Tribolium castaneum: one gene and its partner. The protein of the gene in region 1 purifies or fractionates together with the protein of each later gene. This does not show direct contact. Links are inferred from orthologs where the notes say so. Each region holds a gene or a part of one and is shown in the gene's direction. Other genes may lie near its edges.

Region 1 (3,930 bases):
TTATATAGTTTACGATAAAATTTTTGCATTTTGTTTATGTCTTACTATTGAGAATTTAATGCTTTATCTGCCAGTATTTTTTTTATTTGCTGTGTTAACCGTTATACAAATACAACCATTTTTTCTGAAAACTTAGAGGGTAATGAAACAACTGCGCCATCTGGCGATATTAACGTAACTATCGAGAACGGGAACGTTTCATTTGTACGTCGTTTCGCATCCTAACCTATAGATATCCGTGGTCCACCGTAAAATGTCAAAACAGGAGAAAAAAAAACGTAATTTTATTGAACGCAAAAACAAGCAAAGTGTTTTTGTCCAACGTAAAAATGTTCATGAGCTTCATGGAATTACATAATGTGTTAATTTGAAAACAATTAAAACAGTACTTTTTGAAAAAAAAAAAGTTTCCGTTTTTTTTTCTTGAAAAACACTTATATTTTTTCACCGCTAGCGAAAACGTGAACTTCTTATTTGTACGTCGTTTCATATCCTAATCTTTAGATACCCGTAGTATCTACTCATAAGTATATTAAATTTTAATGGAAATAAAAAACAAGCCACAACTTTGGTTTTTAATAAATTTTATTGATTTTTGAATTACAAAATTCAATGTAATTAAAAAATTCATTTTTGTGTATAATTATTAATTAAACCTAAAATGTTAACATAAATAGTGCCTGCTCATGTAAAAAACTAAATAAAATAATTGAAACTTTATGTCACTTTGTGCCCTATCAAATATCACAATCAAGCAAAGGCTACCTATCCCCCCTGTCCCCCTCATCAATCACTTGCAGAAGCCTCTGTTTCGTCTTCTTATTACTCTGACACGCACAGGAAACCAACCCGAACAAATGTTTAGCCGAATATTCCTTACAAAAAAAAAATTAAAACGACAAACAACCTACTTTCCAACTCACCCCATGTTCCTTAATCCACTTTTCCAACTCAGATTCGGGCAAATAAAACGCCTTTATATAGTTTTCCACATATTCGCGATGAGGAACGGGCCTTAAACCAGCCATTTTTTCAAACTTGGACAAAAATTGGATAAAATCAAGTTGCATTAGAGCCCGCCCCCCGTTTGAACACTTTTTCGCCTCGCTGAACCTTAATTACACATAATTACACTTAATTGCAATTGCAATCAATTAATTACCCTTGAACCAACGTGTGGGTGATTATATGGGCGATACTTTCCCACAACGACGTGGAAACTTCAACAGAAACGGGGACTTTGTGAGCGACTTCCTCCAACCGCAATGTGAAAATCTGCACCTCCTGACATTATACGCAATTAGTTTAATTAAATCAATTTGTAATTTATTATAATTACTCGGAGGATTCGGTCAATGTAGGTGTTGTGTTGCGACATGACTTCCTTCACCTCCCAGTTAATTTTCGCCATTGAGACCAAAATTTGACGCAAATCGAACGCCTGCGCCCCCACGGACATGTAAACGGGCTTTCGTAGGTCCTTAGCGCTCGAAATGTTCTAAAATTTTTAATTAATTTTAAATTATCTAGGGGATTTTATCGGTCATGGTGCCATTCTGAAAGCACCAATAACCCGTCTTTGTCGTCCTTGTTGATTTTCAATTGCGCTATCTTTTTCTACTAGTAACGTTTGATAACCCCAAAGTACATAACCTCAAAAATCAAGCATGGATCAAAATGTGATAAAAGTGGGTGATTTTGTGATAGTGCAACGTCAGGGGTACACAAAACTACACAAATTGAAGGCTCATGGGACCCTCTCGCTTGGTAGTTTCACCGTCGAATTGGATAACATCGTGGGGGAAAAATATGGGGCAACTTTCCAAATGAAGAATTTTCCAGGCAATCGGAAGCTTTTCACGCTTGAAAAAGTGGACGAAATGCCCGGAATCACGTCGATTAACATCGAGAAAAGTGGCCTCGACAATCGTAATATAACCGATGATGGACAATCACAAAATCTCACAACTGAAGATATTTCGAAGCTCAAAAGTGAGGAACTTAACTCGAATTCAATCGTTGAAAAACTGATCAATAATTCGAAAACGTTCAACTCGAAGACTGAATACAGCCAGGAGAAATACATCAAAAAGAAAGAAAAAAAATATTTCGAATATGTCCAGATAAGGCGGCCCACAATTCGCCTGTTGGCAACAATGTTCTACCGACAAGACCCGAGCAAAACGCTCGGAATCCGAATCGATGACTTATCCCAAATCCTGACTTATTCAAACATACAATCACAAGGAACCCACCTATTGTATGATAGTGGCACTTCGGGGCTCCTCCCAGCCGCTTTGCTCCACCAATTAGGGGGCGGAAGCCCCGCCCACTTGATACACCTACACCCGGGGAACGAATGCCAGAAAAGTGCCCTCGTTGCTATGAACTTCCCTCCCGAACAACTCAATCGTTGCATCAACGTTAACTTATATTCAGTATTACGTTGTTACTACCAACAGAAAGAAACATTTGACGACCCCCCTGCTAATAAAAAAATGAAAATCGAGGAGGGGGCGGAGCCAAAGAAACCCAACTGGCAAATCGAGAACGAGCGGGCGTGTCAACTACTCAACAAAGGCGTGGATTCGCTTATCATCGCTTCAAAAGAACACCCAAACGCCCTCGTCTCGCAATTGGCCCAATTCCTGACCGGTGGGCGTAACCTTATCGTTTTCAACCAATCACGCGAGCCCCTTCAAGACCTATACCTCCACCTTAAGGAGAAACTCGACTTCATTCATATAAAAATCGTGACTAACTTTATGCGTAATTATCAAGTGTTGGCCAATAGGACGCATCCAGAAGTGAACATGACAACCGGTGGTTACATTTTAACGGCTTTTAAATTGAAATAGTGACTCACCTGTGTGAAAAACTGTTGCAACATTATTTTATTCGTGGGCGGGATTAAATACTCGAGGAATTCCTGTAAATATTCATATTGTTTGGCGAGAAAGATGACACTTTCCACGCCCACGATACGTTCAGCCAATCCGTGCAAGTGTTCAGGTTTGGTGAGGTCCACCATTGGTGAGAGGGCGGGTTTTAGGATTTTGGGCGGGGTTTCGTCAGTGGGCGGTTCCTCGAATTCGGTGACTAGATTGTCGGAGATTTTTTTCAACGTTTGGGTGAGTTCGGGCGTGTAGAGAGAGTTGCTAGCGACGGTCTAAAATAATTGATTTTCTACTAAAAAATTGTAAATAGGAAATTTATTTTCTATGAGAACACGTCAAATTTGAAAAATGTTCATAGAATAATAATAAAGTGTTGTTGTATTTGCATGTTTCTTGTTTTAATTTTTATAGTCTGATGTCACAATTACAGGAAACTGTAATTTAACAAAAATAAACTTAGAAACTCGATTTTTACTCTTTTTCAGATGAGTTCTGGGACATATGCGTAAACCTCTTTAGGAACGAAAGAAACAAAGAAAAAATTGGTTATTAGAAAATAATTAAAAAAAATTTAAGTTCTGTTTCTTTTCATTATTTTTGTAAATAAAAATAAATGTTTTTATTACGTTAAAAATGTGTATAAAATTTTATCATACATATTCAGGAGTCAAATGATTTGGTAAGTCCAAGTTAGGACAACAGAAAAATATATTTACAACGGTAATATTTAATTAGAATTAATTTATTCCCTCAGTTTGCACTAATGTGTCAATCACAAAGAAAAAACACGCCTACTCTAATTATAAATTCAAATGTTCACACAGTAGATATAATTATTTTTCGGTAGAATTTTTTAATCTTGCAGAGGTAACAGATTATTAAATTACTTTTTCAGTACATATTCTTAATATAAATCTCTTTAAACGTGTTATTTTATTTTCACCAGGTATAAAAAGTTTCAAAAATATTTTTTACTCATTTTTAATTAGTTCGTAGAAGCATTTTCTTTTTGTAAAAAAAAATGTGAAAACAG
Region 2 (3,169 bases), on another chromosome or scaffold:
CTGCCCTTTCAGAGCGTTATGATAGGATATTTAGGGTCGAAATCTCTACCTTTATTATGTGCTATTGCCAGATAAGGACAAAAGTTCAGAAAGTAGGGTTAGGGTGTATTATGCTCTCTTCTGAAGTGTTAAATTTTAACTTTAATGTTTTTTGTGTGCTTTCCTGCTCTTCTAGAGCGCTATTAATTATTATTGAACATGTTTAAGGACAGACAAATCTACCTTGAGTCAACGACATAAATTTCAGTGAGATTTATTGAAAAATGCACTTCTCGTGTCAACCTTTTCATGAAAAAGGGTGTTTAAACGTTTATAAAGGGTATGTTAACGTGTGTTGTTAACTTTACCACGTAATAAAACATAAAGTATAACTTGGTAATTTTTTACTTTAACTACTTCTGGATTTTCAAGCTGAAACTTACACCAAACGATTCCTCTGAGTGCCCTGATGACCGTACACTATGAATTTTCTTGTGCAAATTGAAAATAACATTAGAAAAATAATTTTTATTTTCACTCACTTTTTACTTGAATCGCCATTTTTGTTGATTTTAAGGGATACAACCAGGCATTCCGAACTGATATAGCCAAATCCACAGAATAACAGGTTTTACGAATCGAACCCTCACTGAAATAGGTTTTACTGATGATGAGGATAGATGGCCCTAGTGTTTTACGGGAAAAAGAAGTCCTATTGGCGGATTTAAAATTCCAGATTATTGAAGAAAAACGTGGTACCGATGCGCAGCTGACAAGTAAAAATTTCACAAACGTCAGCAAAATTTGAGTTTATTTTTTATAATATCACGTTAATTTTTCAAAGTTTTATTAAGATAGTGGATCAAGGTGTCGTGTTTGGGTTAGACTATTGCCCACTATCGGTTAGGAACAACATGATCTCTAAAAATATAACGTAGTAATGAGCTCCAGAAGGTTTACGTAGATAGGTGCGTTTTTCCCAAAAGTGAGTTTTTTGAGATCGAACCGCAAGTGAGTCACACTGCGAGAAGACTCCCATAGACAGAAGTTGCAAACATAAGGTGCCAGACCGGTGCCAGTTTGGCTGATTGCAAGTATGTCGTTATCATCGATTCGGTGACGACTATTAGTTTTGTAAACTTAATGGATTTAATAAATATCTTTAACATTAAATGTGATCGTGTCATGTTGGGTAAAATTCTTCCATCTGTGCTGTCTGTGCATCCACCTTTTCAAATACAATTAGGAAATTTTCAATAATTGTATTTGATAAGGTTTTGACATCATTTTGACGTGAGCAAAAATTAAAAAAATACAAAGTAATCGGAATTATTTTAAATTTGCGCCATTTTTAGTACGTGATGATGCGGCTAGATGGCTTCAGCTAGGAATTTATTGCCAACCATTATGTTCCGCTTCTATAAAAGTGTTATTCTAGGACCTAACCTAATATTCTGAAATAATTCGCGATGAGTTTCGACGATTATAAAGCAGTGATAGACGAGGGCGATACAGTAATTCTTTATTTGACGATAAGCCAGATCTACAGTATTCGTGCCGAAGCTAAAACTTTAAGTAAAAAAGGAGTAGAAGTAGAGAATGTGTTCCAGACGCCTTATGGGGCTCTCAAGTGTGCTGATTTGATAGGGAAGCCCTACGGTTCAAAGATCACTCTGAGTAAAGGTTGGGGCTACGTGATGCAGCCCACCCCCGAATTGTGGACCCAAACCCTGCCCCATCGAACCCAAATAATCTACACGCCTGATATCAGCATGATTATCCTTCAGCTGGAAATTGCTCCTGGTAGTATCGTTGTGGAGAGTGGTACCGGGAGTGGCTCCCTGTCCCATGCCCTAATCCGAGCTGTGAAACCAACCGGACACTTGTACACTTTTGATTTCCATAAAAACAGAGTAGAACTAGTCCGAGAAGAATTCGCCCAGCATGGCTTAAGTGACTATGTCACCGTCAGTCAACGGGACGTTTGCTCCAGTGGATTTGGGGATGAGTTAGAGAATAAAGCGGATTCAGTGTTTCTAGATTTGCCACATCCTTGGCAAGCAATACCACACACTTTGAACGTAATCAAAGAAACAGGGGGGCGCATTTGCTCATTTTCGCCGTGTATTGAACAAGTACAAAAGAGTTGTGAGGTTTTGTCAAAATTAGGGTTTCAAGAAATACAGACAATGGAAGTTTTGCAAACTTCCTACTCTGTGCAGACAAGGAAATTGCCGGTGCTTGATTTGGATTTCCTTAAAAGTGAAAAGGATGGAACGGAGACAAAGGGTAAAGAGAGGGAAGTTGTGAAGTGTGTTACGGCTGTTCCACCTGCAAGTATGCCGGGACATACGGGCTATCTAACGTTCGCCTCGTTGCCCCCCGTCTGGGCAAGGAGTCTCCAAATCAGCCTAAATCAGGCCCAAGAAGACAATTCCCCCGATTTATAAAACATACCTATTTTATTTATTTTAAGGACACGTATTTGTAGTATTTTAATTTTTAATAAAGTTTTTTTACTGTGATTTTGTTTATTAGTGTACACGTCCCTATGTATTTTATTATTTTCTCAATTACGTCGAAATTGCCCAAAAAAATAAACTATTTTGACGTATACCCATGTAAAATGATCCGGGGAATCGATTGGCGTCGAGAAAATCGCCAAATTTCCAATCGTTTTTGAGTTATGATTTTTTTTTAATTTTTCTTGCTTTTGTTTGCAATTTTCTCGAAAACTATTAGTCGTTTTTCACAGCAAGACATAATTCTAACCCCATTTGATGCTTTTTTATTTAGAGTCTTTTAGTTATGGCGATATCTAAGGGTGCAAGTTTTAGTTGAGACACCCTCTATAAACTGACTATTAAAAGGACAATTGCGGTTTTATAGTAATTAGTTTTATGTATTGTGTAATCCCATTTATTCAAATACATAAGAACACAACGAATTTTGGTCGTTTTTATTAAAAAGAACAAAAAAATGTTTGTGGAGAAAATAAATTAGATCATTAGCCTAATCAGATTTATTATTTTCATACTGTAACAATGATACATCCGAAGTAATTAGCAACATCCAGATATGTTTAATATTTAATTACAAAACTGACATCCATATCAATATGGTTTAATTACGACTGAAAATTCGAAAGAAGCTAGTTACATTCATTGCAAACAAATCATTTACTTTTTAT

What was found.
Region 2: the proteins of Trmt6 (region 1) and Trmt61 purify together in Homo sapiens (affinity purification with mass spectrometry; 4 studies listed by BioGRID and IntAct, counting the BioPlex papers as one, with this or other methods). This does not show direct contact. The link is inferred for Tribolium castaneum from reciprocal best matches to the Homo sapiens genes TRMT6 and TRMT61A.

What each region holds. Positions count from the first base shown.
Region 1 is NC_087401.1:9,932,960-9,936,889, forward strand, and holds Trmt6 (tRNA (adenine(58)-N(1))-methyltransferase non-catalytic subunit TRM6), read left to right. Parts: upstream 1-1,515; 5' UTR 1,516-1,667; coding exon 1,668-2,858; 3' UTR 2,859-2,866; coding exon of another isoform or gene 2,867-3,169; 3' UTR 3,170-3,282; downstream 3,283-3,930. Other genes in the region: Vps50 (syndetin), read right to left, coding at 762-875, 924-1,113, 1,163-1,284, 1,340-1,498, 2,867-3,169. UniProt on the Homo sapiens protein: Substrate-binding subunit of tRNA (adenine-N(1)-)-methyltransferase, which catalyzes the formation of N(1)-methyladenine at position 58 (m1A58) in initiator methionyl-tRNA.
Region 2 is NC_087397.1:4,479,494-4,482,662, forward strand, and holds Trmt61 (tRNA (adenine(58)-N(1))-methyltransferase catalytic subunit TRMT61A), read left to right. Parts: upstream 1-1,347; 5' UTR 1,348-1,448; coding exon 1,449-2,429; 3' UTR 2,430-2,504; downstream 2,505-3,169. UniProt on the Homo sapiens protein: Catalytic subunit of tRNA (adenine-N(1)-)-methyltransferase, which catalyzes the formation of N(1)-methyladenine at position 58 (m1A58) in initiator methionyl-tRNA.